Linked DNA regions of Callithrix jacchus. Each later gene encodes a partner of the first gene's protein in a complex. Links are inferred from orthologs where the notes say so. Each region holds a gene or a part of one and is shown in the gene's direction. Other genes may lie near its edges.

The links.
Region 2: NOD2 (region 1) and MAP3K20 share a complex: the UniProt entries of both Homo sapiens proteins name them as parts of the signaling complex. The link is inferred for Callithrix jacchus from reciprocal best matches to the Homo sapiens genes NOD2 and MAP3K20.
Region 3: NOD2 (region 1) and MAP2K3 share a complex: the UniProt entries of both Homo sapiens proteins name them as parts of the signaling complex. The link is inferred for Callithrix jacchus from reciprocal best matches to the Homo sapiens genes NOD2 and MAP2K3.

What each region holds. Positions count from the first base shown.
Region 1 is NC_133521.1:8,618,735-8,622,480, forward strand, and holds the start of NOD2 (nucleotide-binding oligomerization domain-containing protein 2), read left to right. Parts: upstream 1-1,022; 5' UTR 1,023-1,085; intron 1,086-3,746. UniProt on the Homo sapiens protein: Pattern recognition receptor (PRR) that detects bacterial peptidoglycan fragments and other danger signals and plays an important role in gastrointestinal immunity.
Region 2 is NC_133507.1:56,214,319-56,217,549, reverse strand, and holds the end of MAP3K20 (mitogen-activated protein kinase kinase kinase 20), read left to right. Parts: intron 1-1,134; coding exon 1,135-1,835; 3' UTR 1,836-2,586; downstream 2,587-3,231. UniProt on the Homo sapiens protein: Stress-activated component of a protein kinase signal transduction cascade that promotes programmed cell death in response to various stress, such as ribosomal stress, osmotic shock and ionizing radiation.
Region 3 is NC_133506.1:64,704,241-64,707,986, reverse strand, and holds the start of MAP2K3 (dual specificity mitogen-activated protein kinase kinase 3), read left to right. Parts: upstream 1-1,468; 5' UTR 1,469-1,642; coding exon 1,643-1,691; exon of another isoform or gene 1,692-3,315; intron 3,316-3,746. UniProt on the Homo sapiens protein: Dual specificity kinase. Is activated by cytokines and environmental stress in vivo. Catalyzes the concomitant phosphorylation of a threonine and a tyrosine residue in the MAP kinase p38.

The sequences.
Region 1 (3,746 bases):
GTGTGTGTGTGTGTGTGTTGGAAGCGGTGTGTGTGTATATGTGTGTTGGGAAGCAGTGTGTGCATGGTGTGTGTGTTGGGAAGCAGTGTGTGCGTGGTGTGTGTGTTGGGAAGCAGTGTGTGTGTGGTGTGTGTTGGGAAGCGGGGTGTGTGTGTGTGTGTGTGTTGGGAAGCGGGGTGTGTGTGTGTGTGTGTTGGAAGCGGTGTGTGTGTATATGTGTGTTGGGAAGCAGTGTGTGTGTGGTGTGTGTTGGGAAGCAGTGTGTGTGTGGTGTGTGTTGGGAAGTGGGGTGTGTGTGTGTGTGTGTGTGTTGGAAGCGGTGTGTGTGTATATGTGTGTTGGGAAGCAGTGTGTGCATGGTGTGTGTGTTGGGAAGCAGTGTGTGCGTGGTGTGTGTGTTGGGAAGCAGTGTGTGTGTGGTGTGTGTTGGGAAGCGGGGTGTGTGTGTGTGTGTGTGTGTTGGGAAGCGGGGTGTGTGTGTGTGTGTGTGTTGGAAGCGGTGTGTGTGTATATGTGTGTTGGGAAGCAGTGTGTGTGTGTGTGTGTGTTGGAAGCAGTGTGTGCGTGGTGTGTGTGTTGGGAAGCAGTGTGTGTGTGGTGTGTGTTGGGAAGCGGGGTGTGTGTGTGTGTGTGTGTTGGGAAGCGGGGTGTGTGTGTGTGTGTGTGTTGGAAGCGGTGTGTGTGTATATGTGTGTTGGGAAGCAGTGTGTGCGTGGTGTGTGTGTTGGGAAGCGGGTTGTTCTGAGGACTGTCCGGTTCCCTCCTGGTTGAAATGAGGCCCAGAAAGGGAGGCCTGCTGACCAGGGCACCCAGCCAGGACCGTCCAGCCCCGCAGACAGGCCCGGCCCCTTTCCTGCGCCCTCCCTCCCTGTCCCCTGTGAGCCTCGCCAGCCCTGGAGTGGGCGCTCTCGGGGCTGCGTGGCCTGGGACTGGAGCGGGTGCGGCCGTCCGGGCAGAGCAGGGGCGGGGTCCAGGCGGGGGTGGAGCCGAACGCCCGCGCAGACGGAGGCGCAGCCCAAGCCGGAGGTGGAGCCCGGAGTCGTGGCCCACAGCAGGCCTGGGAGTCCGGGCGCCGGCGGCTCGCGGTGAGTGCTGTTTCCTGGCGCGAGGCCTGTGCCTAGCGCCTGGGGGTGGGCTGCGGGAAGACTGTGGGTGTCCATGGTGCCGCCCCCAGGACTCGAACACTTGGCGTCCGTCCGAGCAGTCTAGCAGTCTTGGCTGCAGGGCTTGGAGAAGGGTTGCCTCGGTTTCTCCTGGGGGAGTCCCGGGTGTAGATGGGACATGAGAAGGAAAGGGGACATCTCCAGGTTGGGGAGGCTCCTGGCAGGAGTGGAAAGTCCTGAGGAGCCCGGGCTTCAGGTCTCTGAGGGCGCCATTCTTTTGAGTTCTTTCCTCTCTGTGGGACTCAGTTTCCTCATCTTCACCATGCCAGTGAGTGGTGTGAGAGGGTCTGCCCGGAGGATCCTACTGCTGCTGTCTGCACTTCTTAGGGGAATCTCCTGCCTCCTCCTTCTCCCTTGGTGGGTGTGAGATCTAAGTTCAAATCCATCCCTCCCCAGATAGCCCACACCAGGACCTGTGTGGCCACATCCCCCGGCTGTTTGCTCTCTGCTTCTCAAGTTGACGGAGCAGCTGTCTGGTCCTGCTTACATTCCAATGAACTGAAAAGCCCTCCACCCAATAGCCCTGCGGAGGGCCTCCTGAAGCTGCATGAGGGTTGGAGGCTGGACCCCCGCTTCCAAGTTTGCTTTTTCTGAGCCCTTGGGCTTCTTGCCATGGCCTTGGTTTTCCCATGGGCTGTGACTTGGCCTCCTCCAAGGTCCTTGTTCTACAGAGGGGGATCGCCTGCCCTGTCACCCTCCCCAACCCCTTAGTGAAGAAGACCAGAGTGACATCCTCACTGCCTGTACTTGCCTGTCCCAATCACTCAGCCATGGGGTTGCTGCAGCCCTTGAATTTGGCCTCGCAAGGTCCCTCTGCCTCTCTGCACCCTGGGATCAAGGCTGGAAGCATCCTCATCCAGCCCACCTCCCTCCAACCCAGTTCAGAAGCCCTCTGCAACACATGCCTGGTGGTGGGGAGCTTATTACTGATGAGGTGGCTTTTCAGTGTCTTACGGCTCTTGTTTCCTTTACCTAAAATCTGTGGCTTACAGATTTTGCACTTGGTTCCACATCTGTCTCCTGGAGCCATGCAGAGCACATCCATTCTTTCACCCATTCCAGCAGTCATCATTCATGCACTGAATGAGATGTGAGACTGAGCAATGGGGAAATCAGATTAAACTCCCTGCCCTCATGGAGTGCACATTCTGGAAAGGAATGGACAGCAATGAAAGAGGTAAATCTGTGGCATGGCAGGCAGTGGGAAGTGCTACGAGTAAAACAAAGCGGGGAAGCAGGATGGGGTGCTGGGGCTGGGTATTGCATTGTATATAGCACAGTTAGGGAAGGCTTCCCCAAGACCACGACAGCTGGGCAGTCATCAGGAGGCAAGGGCGAGCCTTGTGAGTATCTGTGCGGGCGGGTGGGGGGGCTTTGGCTTTTACTCTGAGCGCGGTGGGAGCCCTGGTTTGGAGCTGAGAAGTCACCTGCTCTGACTTGGGGTCTGGCAGGCCCATCCAGCTGTGGGGTGGAGAATGGATAGTGATGGGTGGACTAAGGGCAAAAGGAGAGCCTGGTGAGAGGATCAGTACATTGTTCCGGGGAGAGACCAAAGTGGCTTACACCATGGCCCACAGGTGGTTAAAAAAAATAGAAAAAAACCCCAGACCTTCAGATTTGGGATATATTTCAAAGGCTATGTCAATAGGATTTGGGGTGCAAGAGAAAGGTAGAATCAAGGATGATTCTGAGTTTTTGGCTCAAGCTTCTGGAGGTTTGAAGCTGCCGTGAACTGCAATGGGAGTTGCGACGGGGGAGATCAGGAGTTTGGTTTTGTGCTTGTCGTGTGAGCTGTCCATTAGGCACCAACGATGATTAAGCAGTTGGGAAAAGTTAAGGGCGGAGGTTGGAGTTGGAAATGAAACTGTGGGCATCGTCACCCTATAGCTGGTATTTAAAGCCGCAAGAGCAGGTGGCTTCATCTAGGAAGGGAGCACTATGGAGAAGAGAAGGGGTCCAGCCATTGAGCGCTGGGGCCCCCGGTGTTAGGAACCAGCCAGGAAGACAGAAAGAGTGAAAATGAGAGAGTTGGGGTGCCCCAAGGGGGAAGGAGGGAGCAATTATGACCAATGCCCCTGGTGGAGCAATTATGACCAATGCCCCTGGCAGAGCAAGCAGGCTGAGGGCTTAGGATTGAGCAATGGGAGGTCACTGGTGACCATGATCAAAACAGTCTGACTGGAGCTGGATGGGGAACTTGGGGGATGAGAAGGGATGGGAGGATTTGGGGACAGCAGTGCAGGCACAGACAAGGGGGCCTGCTATAAAGGAGGCAGAGAAATGGGATTGGAGCCAAATGAAGAAGAGGGGCGTCAAGAGAGGGCCTTACTTTTACAATGGAGGATTAGAGTGCATTGTTCACTGGTGGGGGAACTGGTCTTTTAAGGAGAGAAGCTCAGTGCTGGGGAGGGAGAATGGAGGATGGCTGTGGGAGGGTGTGGGGCTTGGCCCCAGCAGAGTCCCAGAAGGCTTGGGAAGTTGAGCTTCCTTGAGTTTCCCCTCCTTTTCTGTCTGCAAGGGGTCAGTGGGCTGAGATTTCAGCACTTAAGCCAAGCATTTGCTCTTGGCCCCAGAAAAACCAGG
Region 2 (3,231 bases), on another chromosome or scaffold:
GGAGTAGCTGAGGAAGCTGAGGCCTGGAGGACCACGGAGGAACTCTAGAACATGGGCAACATTGTTCAGGCTCGGAGGAAAATAGAAAAGATCTCAGGTGTGAGGAAGTTGCTTATTCACTGAAATATACCTTACTAAATGATCCTTGTTAATTCACCATTTTCCTTTTTTTGAGAGACAGAGTTTCGCTCTGTTGCCCAGGCTAGAGTGCCATGGCATGATCTCTCCTCACTGCAACCTCCACCTCCCAGGGCAATCAAGCAATTCTCCTGCCTCAGCCTCCTGAGTAGCTGGGATTACAGGCTCGTGCCACCACGCCTGGCTAATTTTTGTATTTTTAGTAGAGACGGGGTTTCACCATGTTGGTCAGGCTGGTCTAGAACTCCTGACCTTGTGATCCACCCACCTCGGCCTCCCAAAATGCTGGGATTACAGGCGTGAGCCCTCATGCCCGGCCAACCATTTTATTCTACCTTAACTTCTTCCTACTTGCCAAGGCAGCTTCATTTTTTCTGCTGAAAATACATTTTATTCCCAAGCCTCAGGATCTCTCCTCTGGACACATGAACGGTCTCTCTTCCAAATAATCTCTAGCTGTCTCAACCTTTGGAACCTCATTTCTTTTATCTGCATTTAGGGTCCTTGAGGTTTTAAATGTGCACGTTGCAAAAAAAAAACCTTTTGTTTACTAAACATGCCACTGACACCTGAACACACTTTCTAGAAGTGACAACACTACTATGTAGGAAGAAGATGGGATTTAGATGCAGAAGGACTTGGTGTTATTGACTGAGTGATCTTGGGCAAGTTATTTGACCTCCCAAGCTTCCTCATTTATCGAATAAGACTATCAATATTTACCCAAGAAGATTATTGAGAGGATTAAGTGAGAAAGTGTAAGTGAAGCCCATGGAACAATGCCAAGCACACAGCATCTATCCAATAAGTGTAAATGTCCTTATTTTTTAAAGTATTTGTAATAAAGGAAATGTCCTTATACATAGCCTAGAATTTCTATGAATGGCAAAGCTTACAGCAGCGCAAACAGCCTTGAATTATCCTAAGACAGGCATGTGAATTAGGCATGCAGCTTTAGTGTGGCTTAAAAGATACTCATTTCCATTTCTCCTGCAGGTGCTGATTGCCAGTGGTTAGATACTCTGAGGATGCGGCAGATTGCATCCAACACTTCCTTACAGCGTTCCCAGAGCAATCCTATTCTGGGCTCACCATACTTCTCACACTTTGATGGCCAGGATTCCTATGCTGCTGCTGTGAGACGGACCCAGGTGCCCATTAAGTATCAACAGATTACACCTGTGAACCAATCCAGAAGCTCCTCTCCTACTCAGTATGGGCTGAACAAAAACTTCTCTTCCCTACATCTCAACTCTAGGGACAGCGGCTTTTCCAGTGGCAAAACGGACACCTCTTCAGAGCGGGGTCGCTACTCAGACAGAAGCAGGAACAAATATGGTCGTGGTAGTATATCACTCAATTCTTCTCCTAGAGGAAGATACAGTGGAAAAAGTCAGCATTCCACTCCTTCAAGAGAGAGATATCCTGGAAAGTTCTACAGGGTTTCTCAGTCAGCACTCAAGGCTCAGCAGTCCCCTGACTTCAAGAGAAGCCCCAGGGACCTCCACCAACCCAAGACCATACCAGGGATGCCTTTGCACCCTGAGACTGACTCAAGAGCCAGTGAAGAGGAGAGCAAAGTCAGTGAGGGGAGCTGGACAAAAGTGGAATACCGGAAAAAGCCCCACAGGCCCTCTCCCGCCAAATCCAATAAAGAGAGAGCCAGAGGGGACCACCGTGGATGGAGGAACTTTTGATGAACTGAACTCCATGAGTTTTTCTAAGCAGGTTAAGAAAAAAGAAATGTAATGGCTTTTGATAATATGATCCCTTCAGATTGAATTAACAAAAAGACAATACTTCCATGCTTTGGATTGGGAAATACCTTTTAATTGAGACTATAGCCAAACGAGGGCCAAACTTATGGATTCTGGTTGCCCAGTGATCATGACTGGACTTGAAAATCACTACACATATTTTCTCCCTCAAGTGAACATTAGAGGAAGGGTTATGCCATCTTTTTACCCTAACCACTGATATTCTTGTTGGCAGGACCAGGACTAGGGTAAAGCAAGTGAGGTCAACAAAAAATTCACATTTTTAGGTAAAGACAGGATCAGTGTTACTGATTTTTCCTTTTGGCTGAGGCTGCAGTATGGCCTGGCAAGGCACTGTTACTGATCTTGTCTTTATTTAACATGTTGATATTTTGTTCTTTTTTTTTTTTTTTTTGCATTTGTTTTCTTTTTAAAGTATTGCATTAAAATATCATTTAGCTTGATTATTGAGTTTTTTGGTTTGGGGTTTTCTTTCCCCCCCTCTTTTCATGCCCCCTTAAATTTTGTGCCCAAGGCAGGTACCTCACTCATCCCACCCTTGGCTGAATTCTGCTAGTTAGTATTTAGTATTTATTTTAGTAAGATATTTGTGTTTTTATCATGGTCAGAGTTGAACTGATTTGGCTTGTCATTTTTCAGTAATAAAAAAGGTTACTGAATTTAATGTTGATTATGATGCATATCTCATTCATTACAATTCATCAGAAACTAAAGATTTAAATTGCCTAGATTTGTGGTTCTTTCTCTCCCTAACCTCCCTAGGACTGCTTTTGAATATTATTTTCTAAATTTCACCAAAGAAGGAGCAAAGAGGGAAAAACAACAGTCCATAAAGGCCCCTTGGGATGTCAGAAAATCTAAAATCTAAAAGAAAACAGACACAGAGTAAGATAATAACGTCACAAGCTAAAAGCCAGAGAAATTTAAAATTACCAACATCCTTGTTGGTACGAGACAGTAAATATCAGCTTTGCAGCTCTAAGACCGCTCTAAGCAGCTGCAGGCAAAGAGGTAAAACCCGTGCGGGTGCAAGGAGACTGTCTGCAGCTTAGGGTAGAAATGGTGGGATGATCCAACTTGTGAAATGCTTCATGTTTTACAAACCAAAAAAGTCAGGCAGCAACAAACTTATTCTATATCAAATCAATAAATGTTACTTTTGATATTCTGAGATTCCATTCAGCATTCACTAACCCTGAAAATCAAGTGTCCTTTGCCCTACGTAGGACTCTCAGTGCTCTACAGAAATCCAAAGGACACTCCGGTAATTCTGTGGGTTTGAAGTCTTTTTTTTAAAAAGTGGTCATCAGAGTAC
Region 3 (3,746 bases), on another chromosome or scaffold:
CTTTCAGAGTCCTTACTGTCCCCATGGGATAGATAAACTGAGGGACAGAGCTTCTCAGTGACTTCTCCAAGGTCACCCAGCTAGTAAGTGGGGGAGCTGGTGTTGGAGTTTGTACGGGTCTGAGCCCCAGGCTCATGATTTCCACCCCATGACCTGGGAAGGGTAAACAGGAGATGCAGGAAGAGAAAGGTGATGACTCCAAGGCTTCCCTCTTATCTCACGTGGCCCTCCCCGCCGCTGTGTGCACGGGGCCTGCATCACCCCCACTTTACACCTGGGCAAGCAGAGGTCAGCCCTGGCCTCAAGCGTTCTGGCAGGTGGTGGAATCTGCTTCCCTCACGTGAGGTCCCTGACAGGGTACACACTCATGTCTGCCTGGAGGCCAGGGGCTGACCCATTGCCCTTTGCCTGGCACATTCTGCCCTCACTAGCCCTGGATTTACATCCAGAGTCACCTGATCCCAGCACCAGATTGGTCAGCGGTTCCTGAAATTCCCCCAGGTTCTGTGTGGGAGCAGAGGGAGGACTGGCCCATCCACCCATTATGCAGATGAGCAGACTGAGGTCTTAGCAGGAGTGGAGAGAACCAAGGCCCAGGAGAGAGCCGGGATGGGGCCTGGGGCTCGCGGGATAAAATGCACCGCATGCCACCTCACTCCTTCTGAGACACAGTTTCCCCCTGTGTAGAACAGGGGCAACAGTAACCAGCCACGAAAGCTCCTCGTGCTGCCTTGTCACCGGGCATCGCTGAGCTCACCACCGACTCCACGCCCTGGACTGGCGCCTGGTGCCCGGGCTCAAGTGAACGTTTGTTGGCGCGGGGCTCTCCGTGCGTGTTAGCGAGCAGCGCCGGGAGGTGGCTGTCACCGCCGCCCGCTCACAGAGGCTTAGACTGAGGCTCAGGTGTCACGACCTGCCCGAGGCCAGTCCCGCTGCAAAGTTGCCGACTCGTATCTGAAACCCGGTCTCAACCCAGCAGCTTGCTTTTAACCCCCGGCCTCCTCGCCAGGCCCAGCCGCACCACCTTTGGGGATCTCGGGGTTTTTCCAGACCAAGCACCCAGGAGAACGCGCCCTCGCAGCGCACCCGCCGGGGCTGCGGGTCTGGAGGTGCTGGGCGGGGTCTGGGGGTGCTGGGGGGGGTCTGGCGCCAGCAGGGAGTTGCGGGCTCAGTGGGTCCCGGGAGTGGGCGGGGCTTGCGTGTTGACGGGCAGCGCGAGGGGCGAGGCTTTAGATCAGGAGGGCGGAGTCTGGCCGGGCCTTGTTTTTTCGGGCGGCGGGCGGACTTGACAGAGAGCGAGAGGGACCAGGATCTTGGGCCCACGGGGTGGTTGGGCGTATGTTTGATAGGCAGGGACAGCCGGCGTCTGATAGGCGGGGTACAGGCCTTGGAAACGGGAGGGCCAATCGGCACGCAGGGGTGGGGCCTAAGTTAGCGCTGTTCGGCCGGGGTACACCGGGCGCTGCCCAGTCTGGCTCTGGCGCCGCCAGTTGCGGACGCGTCCCGCTGCAGTCGCTGCCGCGTGCCTCTGCTCCTCCGCCTGACCCGGGCTATCTGCCCGCAGCCATGAGCGTGCTCGGCCCCGGTGGAGCCCGCTGTCCTCTAGATTAGTCCCCGCCGCCGTCCCGGACCGGTCTGCAGCATGGAGTCGCCAGCCTCGAGCCAGCCCGCCAGCATGCCCCAGTCCAAAGGTAGGCGCTCCCCGCCGGAACCTTGTCCTGACCCCGGGCCCAGTCTGGGGTCGGGCTGCAAACTCTGACCGTTCTGTGGTCCCACCCTATCCTGTCCTTGACCTAGCAGCGGCGCCCTGTCCCGGAACCCCTTCCTGTTTGGGTTCCCAGGACCGGCCCCAGCCTGGGACCTCACCTGGATCCCCAGGTTAGGCCTTGGGACTGCACTCAGGCTCGAGATCACCCAGGCTGAACCCAGGCGAGGACTTTGTTCCCACCCATCCAAGTCAGGAGCCCCACTCTGACCTCATTTGGGCCTTATGGCTGCAGCCTAGACAGGAACTCTCCCAATCTTCTCCGTCAGCGGGACCCGGGTGAGATTCACACTGGCCCCCACCTGGATCCTTGGTCAGCACCCAGTCCCACGTCCAGTTTCGGGACCCAGGGCTGTATCTAGGCTGGGATATCGCTTGCGTCTCCATCTGGGCCCCAGAGTGCTCCTGTTGTTGCGGGCCTCACTGTAGCCCCTATGTGGGTGCTCTGGCTATACCCCAGCTCAGAACCGCCTGACCTCCTCTCCCCCAACTCTCCCTCTCCTTTAGGCCCTATGTTACCCCTTCCCTGGCTGACCTCCACCCCGTCCTGCAGTCCTGTGTCCCCAGGAACCTCCCTTGTCCTCTCACCCCTCCGTAAGGTGCAGCCCCCTCTGTACCGACTCCTCTCTGAGTTGCAAGCTTCTCCCTGCACTTGGGGCGCTCACCCCATCTGGTTCCCGTCCCAGCTGCCTGGGATCTGGGCCAGCCGCCAGGCCAGGGTGCTGGCTGTGCAAGGGATTTGCTCTTCTCCAAGTAGCTGGCTTTCCTGGAAATTTTTGTGAGGTGGCGGCAGCAGGATTTGTCATGCGGAGGGGGGAAGGACGAGACTTGGAGGGCAGAAGGGGAATTTTTTTTTTTCAGGAAGAGGAGAGGATGTTTTTGGTGCGTCGGAGTTTCAGCAGGCTGTGTTGTGAGAGATTTCCAAACCGGACATAGCTGTAATGAATGGGCTGCCTCACCCCAGCAAGCTCCCTGGTGTCTCTGGGTCTCAGTTTTCTTTTCTGTAAATTGGAAGTCATCACACCTGCTTCTGTGGACGCGGGAGTGGGGTGTGGGGTGGTGAATGCTAATGAGCTCTGAGGCGTTCTTTCACTCAAAGAGAGCCTGGCGAGGGCCAGTGCTCACCAGGGGACACCGGCTGCATGCATCCCGCTGTTGCTTTCATTCTTGCTGGAAAGGCCCCCGCTGCTGGGACTCCACTGCAGAGTGAGCAGGAGGCAGGTAGCAGCGGGCACCCCCTCATCAGGGGTCAACCACTCTCCTGCCCTGGAGGGTGCATGCCAGTGGAAGCCCTATGGGGGTCTGGGGAGGGCATGGGCTCTTCCTGGCCCCTGCTGCTGGCTGCTGTGGTGGCTGGAGCCGGGTGGGCAGAATAATTATGCCTTACATAAGTGGGAGGCTGGATCCCTGACAACTGCCCAACCACTGTGAGTAACTCAGGAGGCACTCGCCGGGGGAGGCATCTGAAGAGGGACTTCACTGCACAGACCTCGTGGAGCTTGGGAACCGGGAAATCAGACACTTCTCCACTCTGGAGAGCTCGGGGAGGGGTAAGAAGCACTGTTTGTTTTGGAGGCTTTTTTAGCTCTCCAGGCAGGGAATGCCTCAGCAAAATAAAAGCTCCAGTTGCAGAGTTGTGCAGGGAGAGGGGTCACAGAGGTGGTGGGAGCGCTGTGAGAAGGCCAGGATGAACTTCTAGATGTGAACCCAGGTCCCAGATGAGGTTGGGTGGGCTGAATGGAGGGTCAGGGACCTCCCTCAGGCCCAGGCACTCTATAGCCTCTTCGGGGTCTGGAGAAGTATGTGGTGGCAGAGCCACAGTGCCCCTCACCAAAATCCCTGTGAGCTCCTTCTTTTTTTCCATGTGCCATGCATTTCCTCATTCATTCCTCACAGCCCCATTTACAGATAAGGAAACTGAGGCCCAGAGGCATTAAGTGCCTTGCCTGAGGCCACACAGAGGTGACAGGTGTACTAGGGT